Drosophila melanogaster: one gene and its partners. The main gene of each other region encodes a partner of the protein of the gene in region 3 in a complex. Each region holds a gene or a part of one and is shown on either strand. Other genes may lie near its edges.

Region 1 (3,072 bases), on a different chromosome or scaffold from region 3:
CTGTGAATACTACTTTGAATTCGAAACTCCCGCCGCCTGCGACAGCGAAGCTTTCCAGTCCGAATCGGAGAATCTGCACGACGAACTCTGAAATGTTCAACAATCGACGATGAGGATGAGCCGCAGAGAAATGTGAATGCTTGGCATGCGTAGACCAGAGATTTGGGGATTGTATTTTAGTTTTAAAGGAGAATATCAATTTTGTCGAGATCATTCCCAAACTGCAGCAGGAAAACCATCAAGAATTGTAGCTAATTAACTCAGTATATGCATTTAAGCAAAAAGTACATCAAGTTTCATTCTGAATAAAGTGTAAACACCTAGTATTTTTAAAACAGATAACATCACTGAATGAAAATGTTGATTTAAAGTCGGTTTCCTTGAGCTCAAACATACAAATATTTTACTTTCGTGATACTTGAGCACAGACGATTTCAAGGTATAGGGAAAAGTATATTATAATTGAGAAACTATATGAAGAAATTTAATTGAATGTACACATTTTAGGCAGCAAGAATTTTTCATTTTAAATAAAGTGTCAATAGTTTGCATATTTGATATTGTTGCCAAAACGGAGGACTCGGAACTTTGTTCATCTTTGAGATCACCCTTCGCAGGATATGAAATAAATTCCCGGAATAGTACAATGGTGAGTTGAGATTTTTAAAAACTCATTCTGTTCTCAATAAAGTATGTATGTATAAACATTTAGTAAATATTAAAAATATGCATATTACAAGGTAGACTAACTTTAGGCCTCGGTGACAGCCTGTTTAATGTCCTCCAAATAGCCATCGACCTGGTGCTCCAGTGCGAGAATGTGTCCCGTGTTACAGTTCTCCGCGCCCACAAAGGTCAGGATGAGCGGCAGCTTGTTCATCTGGACCACCTGGTAATTGGAGTACATGGAGATGATGGTCTTGTTTCTGCCCAATCCCAGTTTGCTGGCCTGATCGCAGGCGGTGGTGAATGTGGGTATGAACGAGGGCATCAGGGCGAAGTCCACGTTCTTCTCCTGGCTAACCCGCAGGAGGGGCACTCCGTCGCGATCCGTAATCTGAATAACGTACAGCCCGCTGACCCTTTTGTGTAAATCGGGGAATGGGGGAAAAATTATAAGTTAATCATATTGGGAACAGCCTTTCCTGTGGAATATTTACTTTTGCAGCAGGCCGTCTAAATACTTCTTGATGTCGTCCGACATGGAAAATTTGTTAAAGCGAAAGACTAGAGAAGGTATGGCAATAATAATACGTTTTTCTCCGCATCCAATTATTTACACAAAACAAAGTGAGCAACAGCTGCCTCAAGTTATCGATAAGTTCATGTGGCAGGGGCGTAGTCGGCGGTCGAAGTAAAATATTTTCAGCAAGCGGAAAAAGGATGCGGCTAGTTTTTAACATTATTATTTAAATATTATATTATTAAGCTATCACGCAATACTTTATATAGTTTTTTAGAAACCCCTTCAAAAAATTCAATCCCCGCTCAACTGGAAATTTATCGATTACAGCCTGTTTTTGGTTGCGTGGAAAAACAGTTTGTTTGCAATACGTAAAATTGCTGCAAGTAATGGAAATAAAAGTGTAATACCAGCTTATAATTCGTATTACCATAGATTAAAACCTTCTGCATCATGGTGACTGGAGACCCGGTAGCGACAAAGACCCCAAACGCAGCGGATTCGGATGATAATGACTTTACCGCATCCATGTCGCACCTGACCATTGGCCAGCAAATCCAGGAGCTGTCCAAGCAACTGCAGAACACGAAGGAGGAGCTGCACCAGCAGGTGCGCGACAAGCACGGAGCTCTACTGCAGCAGGCCACCCACGCTGGGCGCTTCGATGCGGCTTTAAACGCGCTCGCCGAGGATGTGCAGCGGGTCAGGGAAACTGGGCACCGGCTGAAGAACCAGGTGGACACGCAGTACCAGCAGGTGGAGAACCAAACGCAAGTGCTAGGGCGTCTGCACGATGTCAGTCACCTACTCCGCTCGGCTGGAACATTGCTGAGCCTCACGGCCAAACTAAAAGCGACCAAGGATGTCCTACGCCTGGCCGAAATCCACTTTGAGTTGGGCCAACTCATCGAAGATAAGGAGCTAAAGGACATTGATTTTATCCAGCAGGAGCGAGCTTATGTGATCAGCTCTGCTCAGAAGATAAGGAACCTCACGCAGATGCAGTTGGTCACTGGGCTCCAGGAGCGCAATGAAAACCAAGTGGTTAATGCCTTGAAGGTGGATATAACAAACATTTTTCTAGCATATACCTAAGAGTTCTTATTCCTTAGATCTTTATGAATTTCAATACGCTGGAAAAATCGCTGGATAACCTATTGGCCACCTTTATTGCCGACATGGAGCAATCTCTGAAAGAGTGCTTTGCTGGCAACGATATATCTGTGCTGAACAAGTCCCCGACGCACAATGTGAGCAAACCTGCTCCCTCGAGGGGACCAGGAAAAACTCCCCAGTTGACAACCACTCAAAACTTCCGTGCCAAGTTCTGGAAGTCTCTTCATTGGCTGCTCTATGATGAACTTTTTGAGACTTGCACGCAAATCAAGCTGCTGAAAACGGCTCTCGAGCAGATCAACCAGTTTGGCTATACATCAGAATCATCGGATCAGTGCATTCCGCAGCGTTTTTGGCAGCAGGTGCAGCAGCTCCTGCGAAAATCCTTTGACGAATGCCCCCAGCATGTTACGCAGACCCTTCAGGAGGGGCTCTCAAAGCTCCTGACCTCCGCTCGTGGCTTGGAGCAGCGTCTGCATGGCGAGTTTCAGTTTGACAACGAACTATTTGCTCCCCTGGAAGTGGGTTACGTTAGCAAGTGTGCTGCCAACTTTAAGGCATGTCTGGCGGGAGTCGATTTGCCCGGCAACGAAACGGTGGACAACTTTATTCGTGTGGCATCAACGGAGCTCAGTGCTGCTTTGATCGATTCCCGTCTCACGAATGCCATAGCAAATGTATTTGCGGCCTGTGGAAAAGAGTTGTGCACAAAACTAGAGGCTCAAATCAAGCTGGGAGCTGATTCCAAGCAGGTCGTGGATCTGCCCAATCTG
Region 2 (2,792 bases), on a different chromosome or scaffold from region 3:
TTAAGGATTAGAACTAAATAGCCAAAATAATCAACTTGAAACATTCCACATTTGTCAGCTGACCAGGTTGCGCCGAAACAAGATCTCTACGACGATCTCCATGCCTACATGGCTCCCCAACTGACTTCGTTGGCCCGGGACATATCCAGCGAGTTGACAAAGGAGGCGGTGGGTGCTGCAGGCCAGGACAACTCCAGCGGGAACAGCGAAACGGCGCCGAAGTACTTGTTCATTAACGAACAAAGCCTGCAGCACCACACGAACTTTCAGAGGCACCTGCCCCAAGGGCTGCCCCGCAATGTGCTTAGTATCATTGCGGACTTGGCCAATGGCAGTGGCAAGGCGGAAATGGAGAGTGCTCCTGCCGAGGAAGTTCAGGTCAAGACCACCAATGACTATTGGATTGTGAAGCGGCGCTGTAACTACAGGCAGTACTATGTGATCCTGTGCAATAGCAAGGCCACCTTGCTGGACGTCACCCAGGAAGCGAGGCGCATTTTCGAGCAAGAGCTCACAGATGATGTATTTTTTGACAAATAAAGAGGAGGATTAGGTAAATAATGGGAGTGCGCCAATTGTGGGGTCTTTGTCCGGTTGCTTGCCAACAGAATCTGCAAGTGGGTCGGACATCCGACGACGGATTTCAAGCCAGCACTGCCCCGGAATCGCTGGCATCGTTATACACGCTGTTCGACGAGGAGGAGCTCGTGGTCGTGGTGACGCCATTCTGCGATTTGCTGATCTTAATGATGTATATTCTACGGTTGGACATGCAGATGCTGTAGTAGTGATGCTCGTAATCGATGGTGATCCTCTCGCAGCTGCTGCTCGGCATGAAGGACTCGTCGATGCTACAATATAGGCGTAATTATTACAAAATTCCTTCATCCTTTGTTTAAAAACGCACGTCTCTGTGAGATTTAGTAATCCCATTATCACATTTGCACTGCGCTCATCGTTCTTCAGATCTCCGCCGGACTCCAGAACTGCTCCATCTTCCTTTAGTATCAGATAGCCAATTTGATTGGGCACAATCAACTTTTCCCTGTCCATTTTCAACATATTTATTTATTTATCTTTCGCACCCACACCCACCAGTGTGACCGGACTAGATCCATTTAGATACCAAATCGGTAGCCTGGCAGCCCGGTTTCAGTGTTGTAAATTGCCACATGCGCGCCATTGACACAAATTCGAAATTGGGACACCGGGCTAAGGTTAATTCATTCAAAAGACAAACAACGCACATCAACAGGAAACTAAAACTCCGGCTCTAAGTCAACAGAGGGCGTGGTCGATAAGGGGGCGTGTGCAGGTGCATGGCTAATGCGTCCGTCTGGCGAAAAAGTGGTAAAAGGCCACGGACAAGGAAATTCCGGACACAGTCTCTCCGGAATGGCCAACTACTATCGACGCAAGAAGGGTGACGCGGTGTTCCTCAATGCAAAACCGCTGAACAGTGCTAATGCCCAGGCATACTTGTACGGGGTCCGCAAGTACTCCATTGGATTGGCGGAGCGATTGGATGCGGATTACGAAGCTCCTCCGTTGGATAGGAAAAAGAGCTCGGACAGCACGGCGTCCAATAATCCGGAATTTAAGCCGGTTTGTGGATTGCTACGCTGTTAAAACCATTTTTGTAAAACTGAATTTCGCTGCTTTCAGAGTGTTTTCTACCGAAACATAGATCCCATCAATTGGTTCTTGAGGATTATTGGAGTATTACCCATCGTGCGACATGGTCCTGCTCGTGCCAAGTTCGAAATGAACTCCGCCTCCTTTATTTACTCGGTGGTTTTCTTTGTGCTCCTGGCGGTGAGTGTGGTGTTTGCATAACATTTTTCAAAATTGACTATGGATACCATTATGTAACCCAAAACCGCTTTACAGTGCTATGTAGGCTATGTGGCCAACAACCGCATCCACATTGTGCGCTCCCTGAGTGGACCCTTCGAGGAGGCGGTTATTGCATACCTCTTTCTGGTCAACATCCTGCCCATTATGATTATACCAATATTGTGGTACGAGGCCAGGAAGATAGCAAAGCTCTTCAATGATTGGGATGACTTTGAGGTGTTGTACTACCAGATATCCGGGCACAGTTTGCCTCTGAAATTGCGACAGAAGGCGGTGTACATAGCCATCGTGCTGCCAATTCTCTCGGTTTTATCGGTGGTCATCACGCACGTCACCATGTCGGATTTGAACATTAACCAGGTGGTGCCCTACTGCATCCTGGACAACTTGACTGCAATGCTGGGTGCCTGGTGGTTCCTCATCTGCGAGGCCATGAGCATTACGGCTCATCTTCTGGCGGAGCGGTTCCAGAAGGCACTGAAACACATTGGACCCGCTGCCATGGTGGCAGACTACCGTGTTCTGTGGCTACGACTGAGCAAGTTGACCCGTGATACTGGAAATGCCCTGTGCTACACCTTTGTTTTCATGAGCCTCTACTTGTTCTTCATCATTACCCTTTCGATTTATGGACTAATGTCGCAACTCTCCGAGGGATTTGGCATCAAGGACATAGGACTGACTATCACGGCTTTGTGGAACATAGGACTGCTCTTCTATATTTGCGATGAGGCACATTATGCCTCGGTTAATGTGCGAACCAATTTCCAGAAGAAACTACTCATGGTGGAGCTTAACTGGATGAACTCGGATGCCCAGACGGAGATAAATATGTTTTTGCGAGCCACCGAAATGAATCCATCGACCATCAACTGCGGTGGCTTTTTTGATGTGAACAGGACTCTCTTTAAAGGACTCTTAACCACAATGGTCAC
Region 3 (6,793 bases):
CCATACTCGAAACTCTTTCAGTTGCAGAACTTTATGTTATCATTCTTTTAAAGTTTTGTTTCACATTGAGCGCGCGCTGTGATCGAACATGAAGATAATATATATCGAATATATAGTTGTACACATGTGTATTTTTATACTTGTGTTTCCTATGCGGACATGTTTAGCATGTAAATAAGAGTGTAATTAAGTTTAGCTAGCACAACAACAGCCAGATACAAGCCATGCGTATGTATTCTAAACTTCAGCTTACAGATCAGCCAGCGCACCGCGAAAACGGAGCATCGGAAAAATTCGCTATAAATCTATAAATCTTTTACCTGGTCCTCAAATCTTACTTGCTATATCGAAACACGGCCCTGATATAATGTTTCACCCTCATTAAATCCAACACACATCCCACTTTGCACCCAAACAAAACAAAACAAAACAAACAAACCCATAATGAAAGGCTACACCAAACAATGTCATATAGAGGGGGGACATCCCCGATGTATTTTTGTCAAAGTGTACATAATACTTAGCGGTAGTAATATTTAATTAACAATAAGACTCCATCAATATTGCGATATCATGTACCATGCAGTACGTAGGCTACTGCTCGCCCCCGTGGCGAACGTTGGTTTGCTCGGTTTACATTACCCAAGACTAAATTTGGTTGAATCTAAGTTAATAAATAAATTTCTAATGCAACACAATCGACTTTTCATTCGTACCATTCGACTCCTGGCGCAGATCATCCACGGCGTACTTGCCAATGACCCAGTTTCTTGAATTTGCAGCCAAACAAACCCTGTCCCTGCTCCGAAATTTCTCGAGAAGATGGGGGGCAGGCAGGCAGCCAGGCGGTGGTGCTGAGTCATGCGCAATTTGCAATCCCAAAATGCACCCTGCTAACCAGGATTTTCGGCTAACTGCGTAGCACCAGCGTTCAAAAGTACAGGTATTCGGACGCTGAGGCGTTTCGAATTTGGTGGTGGTTGAAAGTAACTACTGCTTGTGGCTCTGGCCCCGTGGAGTGCTGATGCATCGCATGAAGGTAGTGGATGAACGGAGGAGAGAGGGAGAGTGCAGCTCTGCTGCGTAATAGATCCGTGACCTGGTTTGCCAATGACGTCACCAAATACGCCTTTAAATTCTCGTTATGCGGAAGTTATGTATGGAACGCAGATAGCTTGGCTGCCATTTTAGCAATTGAATGGGCGAGATAAGTGCCTCTGAAGAAAGTAACTGATAGAACGAAGCATAACTATTTGGGGATTATGGTCTGAGTCAGCATTTGTAAGTAGGGGATAGAAATATTAAAAACAAAAAATATAAAAACATTTTTTAGGTGCTTGGAATAAATTAAAAGCTTGAGTTTATTTGGTGTGTTCAAGTTAACTATGCAGTTATTGTTTGGAAAATTTGAAAAGTTATAAAATCCTCTATAAATTCAAATATTGCGTTTTCATTACGTTAATATCTAATTTGTAAATGGTATATTCTCTTAAAAAACGTATCTCTTTGTTTCTATATTATTATCAAGTTACGAAACCAAAGAAAAAAAATGAATGTTTCCTATTTCCCAACCGAAAACATATAATAATAAATATTGATTACAAAAACGAATCATCTTAATTTGAAAAATTCATTTGTTTATATACTTTAAATCGTCATATAGATGGCGCTACATTTGCCATTGTCACTCACAGCGCAACGCGCACACCTTATCAGCTGAATTTGTTGCCATTCAGAATGCAGTGTTTGTGAAGGCGTAGTTCTGTTGTTTTTTATATTTTCCCTCTTTAAAAATACACAAAATGTTGAAACCCAAAGCTTTGACGCAGGTTCTCAGCCAGGCGAACACCGGCGGAGTGGAGAACACCCTGTAGGATAGTCCCTTACCATGCCATTCCTTCAAATATCACTTATCCCTGCATCCACAGCCTGCTCAGCCAGGAGGGAGCTCTATTGGCCTACTCCGGTTATGGCGATAAGGATGCCAGGATAACGGCGGCCATAGCCAGCAACATATGGGCGGCCTACGAGAAGCATGGACGCAACGCCTTTCGCGAAGGTCGCCTCACTTTCGTGCTCATCGATTGTGAAAACGGTCATGTGGCCATCACACAGGTGGGTGATCCTCTTTTTTTTAGCAGGGATTCGTTCTATAAAATCTTAACTATATTCCTTTTTACAGGTTGCCAGTGTCCTTTTGTGCCTGTACGCCAAGCAAACGGTGGGATTGGGTCTTCTGAAGCAAAAGGCCATGTCACTGGCCTCCTATTTGGAGCGACCGCTTAAGCAGATCTCGGCCTCATAAGGATAAAACAATGATGTACCAAGTTCCGAAATGAATAAGTTAATAAGTGTATGCATCAAAAGTGAATCAAATGAATATGAATAGTCTGCGGAAAAGTTTAAACGATAATATATTAGTACTTGAAATTATGAATCTTTAAGGATTTTGTTAGTATTTAAGGAAAAACTTGTCTGCTGGTTTCCAAAAGTAACCCAAAGATATTTCGTATTCTGAATTATTTGGATAGAGGGTCAGGTTTATTATTCTGCAAGATTTGTTCAAGAAAACACACAATCATTAGGGAATATTGTATAAGAAAATTTTGGACTTAATTACTAAGTGTGGACTTATTCGATGGCGTAGAGCTTCAGGGTGCGGTCCATGCTGGTGGATGCCAGATACTGGGCGTGCTTGCCGAATCTCACGCCCGTTGCCAGGGCCGTGTGGTCGTTGAATACCTTCAGTTCCTGCCACTGCTTGCACAGGTAAACCCTGTAAATAAAACGAAGCAACCGTCAGAATTTGTATTTGTACCGTGGCAACCAAATAAACAAGTTAACTAAGGGAATCTTCTTTGGCGAATTTAACTTAACAATGCGAAAGTTTAAAAGAAAAGTTTACCGCGAATATGAAAGTAAGTATTATATTCTAATATGCGAAGACTTAAAAATGCATGCTGCTCTTCAAGATTTCGTGCGACCCAAGACCCATGTGGAACCGGAGCCTCCAAAGCCCATAAACTTATCGATTGAGGACTTCAATGCGGTGCGAAATAATTAATTTTTATATTTCCAAAGTTAAGTTTTATTAATATTCCTCAGCGCGGAGAGATCGCCAATCCCCGTGCTCCTTGTGTGGTCACCACCATCGATCCCGATTATATTAAGGACGCCAGTGCGCAACGTTTGGCCAGAAAATTTCGCATGAAAACGTAAGGAATCAAATGAATTATGTGCTGGTGCAATTTCACAGCTTTTTCAGGGACATCCTACTCTTGAGGGAGATTACCCGCAATCGCTTTATGTACTATGCTACGCAAGAACTTTTTTTGGACCGAAAACGCGAGAAGGAATACCAAGACAATGTATACGAAAAGGCCGAGGAGTTTCACAAGTTTGCAGAGGAGTCGCTCAAGAAAATGGAAGCGGAGGAGTTTAAGAAAATGTTAGAGGCCCAAGAAAAGCTGAAGACACTGAAGGAAAGCAAACTGAGCGAAGAGCTGAACGAGGTGAAGCTGGAGCATCAGCGAGTGCTGATGGAAGTGCAGGAGGTCTACGGTCGCTTTCAGTATTTACTCAAACTGATCAGCTACTTTGATGACACAGTTGAGGAGGAGCAAACCGAGGGAGACGATGCCAGCAATAGGCTTAGCATGCCGCAGGAAATCGTAGCCATGGAGATCACCGAACGACATCCAGCGGGTCTCGAGCAAGTGCGTCAAGTCCAAGACTACATGGAGAAGATAGTGCGTCCGTATTTGGCAAAGCGGAATCATCTCAATGCAGAGATTTGGATACGTGGCTATGAGAGAAATCGCTTAAAGGTGTCCAACTACAACAGGCGCTTTTCTCAGTTGGCAATCTTGAACCACATCGTAGCCATCCTCCATGACAAGGCCCAGAAGACGTACGAGCGTCAGGTGAAAGCCAATGTGTTCCTCAAGGATCCCGAGTTCCTGCAGCGACGGGTGGCAGGTCTTCAGGAGCGTGCCAAGGGTCTATTAAATGACTTCGAGCAGAGATACTGCAAGGAGTGAGTTGGGATGCGTACATATTTGAATCAACTATTTTATATTCTTAATTTCCAGCAAGCTGAATATCAAGCTAAATGCTATTGTACCAATTATTCTCAAGCAAATCCAAAACAAAGTTAAGCCGGAGCAAAAGCGAGAGGTTACGCAGCCGCCATCCAAGCCAGCAGCCCAGAAGTCGTCCAAGCAATGGCGAACACTGGAAGACATGCAGCCTCCACCACCGCCACCCAAGTCTACATACGCGGACGAACAGGACACGACTCTTGCCAAGGTGGAGAAAATCCAGGGCTACGTTTTGGAGCTCTTGGCTAAACTGGACCACATCGAACCGAGCAAGCTGCGAAGTGTCGAGCAGCAGGTTCGACGTCGCATGGCAGCGGAGAAGGAAATGTCTCGCCGTGCGTTAGTCAAGCAGAACCGGCTACACAACTGGATGGCGCATTTCAAGAAGCATCATGATCAGCAGGTTGAGCAACGATGGAAAAATAAAGTCTAAGCTAGACAACAACACCATACTTAAAACATTAAATGAATACAATTTAAAACTTATTTTAACCTCATTCTGAATGATTTCAATAAGAAAAGTACAATTCACTTACCTGACATCGCTGCCGGCGATAGCCAGATAGGTTCCGCTTTGGTCGAAGCACAGATCCTTGACCTCGTAGCCGTCATCAAGCTGGATTGTCTTAAAGTTCTTCAGCTTTCGCAGATCCCACAGCTTAACGCAGGCATCATCTGCAGCGGTGGCCAGGTAGTAACCGTTCTCCGAGAAGGAGATGGCCGAAATGGGACCGGTATGACCAGGGAAGTTGGCCACATTGCTCTGCTCCTTCAAATCCCAGATCTTAACCTGCGAGTCCACGGTGCCCGTACCGAAGATCAGACCATCAGGATGGAATTGCGCTGTCGTCAGCCCGACTTCGGCGGTATCGATTACCTTGGTGAGCAGGCGTCCTGTGCGGATATCGGAGAATGCCCAGTGTTTGTCGGATGATGTGGACAGCAAGTAGTCGCCAGTGGGGTGCAGCGAAAGGCCAGTAACAGGTCCTTCGTGGCAGCGCAGGAGAAGCTGCGTCTGCGAAGTGGGCACGTGCCAGATGCGTATGTTCATGTCGGGCGAGCCGGTTATGACTGTATCCTCGTTAGGATGATATATGACTTTGGTGATCTTCTTGGTGTGTCCCTTCAGGATGGCCACCATCTGCTCTGTGTCCTTGTTGAACACGGTGGCGTTTTTATCGTTGCCTCCGGTCAGAATCTTACTGTGATCAGCACTGTTGATGTCCAAGGCCAGAATGCCGGGAACGGAGGCCGAGTGTAGGCCGGGATGGGATGCCACAGTAAGGAAGTTCTTAACCTGATCCGTTGTAACCAGATCCTCGGGCACAGTGCGTCCGCGCTTCTTACGCTCCTGCGTCAGCACCGTGGCCTTGTCCTGCAGTTTCTGTATGACCTCGGCGCTCATGCCCGCCTGCTCCATGGGATGGGCAGCAGCTCCGCCAGCCTCAGAGGCCAGGGCCGGTTGTGGTATTGCCGTGGGTGCGTTGGCAATGCCCGCCTGCGGTTTCAACGTGGCCAGAGCTTCGCGAGCGGCGGCCACCTCCTTATTGAGGCGGGCAATCACACGACAGGCGGCATCGTGCTGATACAGCGCATGGGACAACTCCTGGCGCGTCGTTTGCAGCTGCTGGCGTTGTGTGAACGAGTGAATCATGAGGGCGTCCCACTCGTCCTGCATCGTTTTCAAAGTGGCCGGAATGCTGGTGGCACTTGGCGGTTTCGGTTTCACCACAGCCGGCGTCTTGATCTCGATCAGCTCCTCCGGCTTCAGCTCCTTGCCGCTAATGGGATCGCAGCCATTCTCTAACAGATACTTCTCAATCACCCGCTTTTCGAAAACGGCTCCCGAGTGCGGGGAAACCACGGGCGTCTCGGGGACTTCGTTTGTCACTTGGAATGGAAAGTGCGATTCATAATGGCCCAATTCAAATCAAAATCTAAATTATTCACTTACGTGCGCAAACCAAAGCCATTGCTGTTTGTGATTATGTCGCTTTTCGCGTAGTCTTGTTGGTAAATTAAATGTTTTACACGTTTTTCCCGAGCCAAGCGCAAAATTGTCGGCAAAGCCGCTTCTTCTTATTATGCCAGTTACTCGGCGACGCGGGAGTTTCGAGCACAGGGCTGCCAGATCAAATGGATTTTGGCTAGAAATTTGCACAGAAAAAACTAGCTAGAATTTAAACAATTTATTTTATTGATAACACAACACATTCAATAAGTATTTAATCCATAACAATAGTTTTTATAGATAAATGACATTTACTGATAGAGAAGTGAGTAACATATCTTAAATCAATCAGCTATCTCACCGTTTTGCCAATCACAGTTCCGCACGCACAATCCATAATTGCTGGCAACCCTAGCACGTTGTTTCTGTTATTCAATTCACGATCTAGTTTTATAACATAGTTTACTGCCATTAAGGTATATTTTTAAAATGCTGAAGCATTTTGCACGATGGCGTCTGGGCAGCCAGTTGCTAAAGGGATGTGCCGCACCAGTGAGGCAAGCCTCCAAAACCTCCAGCGCAGAGAACCTGATAGCCGGCACAGAGGAACCCCAAAAAAAGTTCGTCAATCCGTTTTCCCAGCCCGCTCCTGCGTTAAGTAATGATACGATATCAGAGAACAAGGAGGAACGGGATAAGCGACTCAAGGTGCTGCAGCTGGAGGCGGACATTGCCCACCAGG

Evidence for each region. The genes of interacting proteins can lie anywhere in the genome.
Region 1: Lamtor2 (region 3) and Lamtor3 share a complex: the UniProt entries of both Drosophila melanogaster proteins name them as parts of the ragulator complex.
Region 2: Lamtor2 (region 3) and Lamtor4 share a complex: the UniProt entries of both Drosophila melanogaster proteins name them as parts of the ragulator complex.

Annotation. Positions count from the first base shown.
Region 1 is NT_033779.5:17,479,466-17,482,537, reverse strand, and holds Lamtor3 (late endosomal/lysosomal adaptor, MAPK and MTOR activator 3), read right to left. Parts: upstream 1,308-3,072; 5' UTR 1,205-1,307; coding exon 1,161-1,204; intron 1,083-1,160; coding exon 752-1,082; 3' UTR 501-751; downstream 1-500. Other genes in the region: GCS2beta (glucosidase 2 beta subunit), read left to right, coding at 1-91; fws (four way stop), read left to right, coding at 1,637-2,242, 2,296-3,072. UniProt on the Drosophila melanogaster protein: Regulator of the TOR pathway, a signaling cascade that promotes cell growth in response to growth factors, energy levels, and amino acids. As part of the Ragulator complex, may activate the TOR signaling cascade in response to amino acids.
Region 2 is NT_037436.4:3,895,207-3,897,998, reverse strand, and holds Lamtor4 (late endosomal/lysosomal adaptor, MAPK and MTOR activator 4), read right to left. Parts: upstream 1,100-2,792; 5' UTR 1,063-1,099; coding exon 908-1,062; intron 852-907; coding exon 644-851; downstream 1-643. Other genes in the region: Ccz1 (Caffeine, calcium, zinc sensitivity 1), read left to right, coding at 59-540; Gr63a (gustatory receptor 63a), read left to right, coding at 1,396-1,605, 1,666-1,815, 1,891-2,792. UniProt on the Drosophila melanogaster protein: Regulator of the TOR pathway, a signaling cascade that promotes cell growth in response to growth factors, energy levels, and amino acids. As part of the Ragulator complex, may activate the TOR signaling cascade in response to amino acids.
Region 3 is NT_033778.4:18,444,836-18,451,628, forward strand, and holds Lamtor2 (late endosomal/lysosomal adaptor, MAPK and MTOR activator 2), read left to right. Parts: upstream 1-1,712; 5' UTR 1,713-1,802; coding exon 1,803-1,870; intron 1,871-1,928; coding exon 1,929-2,115; intron 2,116-2,182; coding exon 2,183-2,305; 3' UTR 2,306-2,631; coding exon of another isoform or gene 2,632-2,776; 3' UTR 2,777-2,878; coding exon of another isoform or gene 2,879-2,918; intron 2,919-2,972; coding exon of another isoform or gene 2,973-3,049; intron 3,050-3,105; coding exon of another isoform or gene 3,106-3,215; intron 3,216-3,265; coding exon of another isoform or gene 3,266-4,036; intron 4,037-4,091; coding exon of another isoform or gene 4,092-4,533; 3' UTR 4,534-4,585; downstream 4,586-6,793. Other genes in the region: Prp19 (Pre-RNA processing factor 19), read right to left, coding at 2,632-2,776, 4,637-5,990, 6,055-6,073; CG30120 (uncharacterized protein), read left to right, coding at 2,879-2,918, 2,973-3,049, 3,106-3,215, 3,266-4,036, 4,092-4,533; rswl (roswell), read left to right, coding at 6,541-6,793. UniProt on the Drosophila melanogaster protein: Regulator of the TOR pathway, a signaling cascade that promotes cell growth in response to growth factors, energy levels, and amino acids. As part of the Ragulator complex, may activate the TOR signaling cascade in response to amino acids.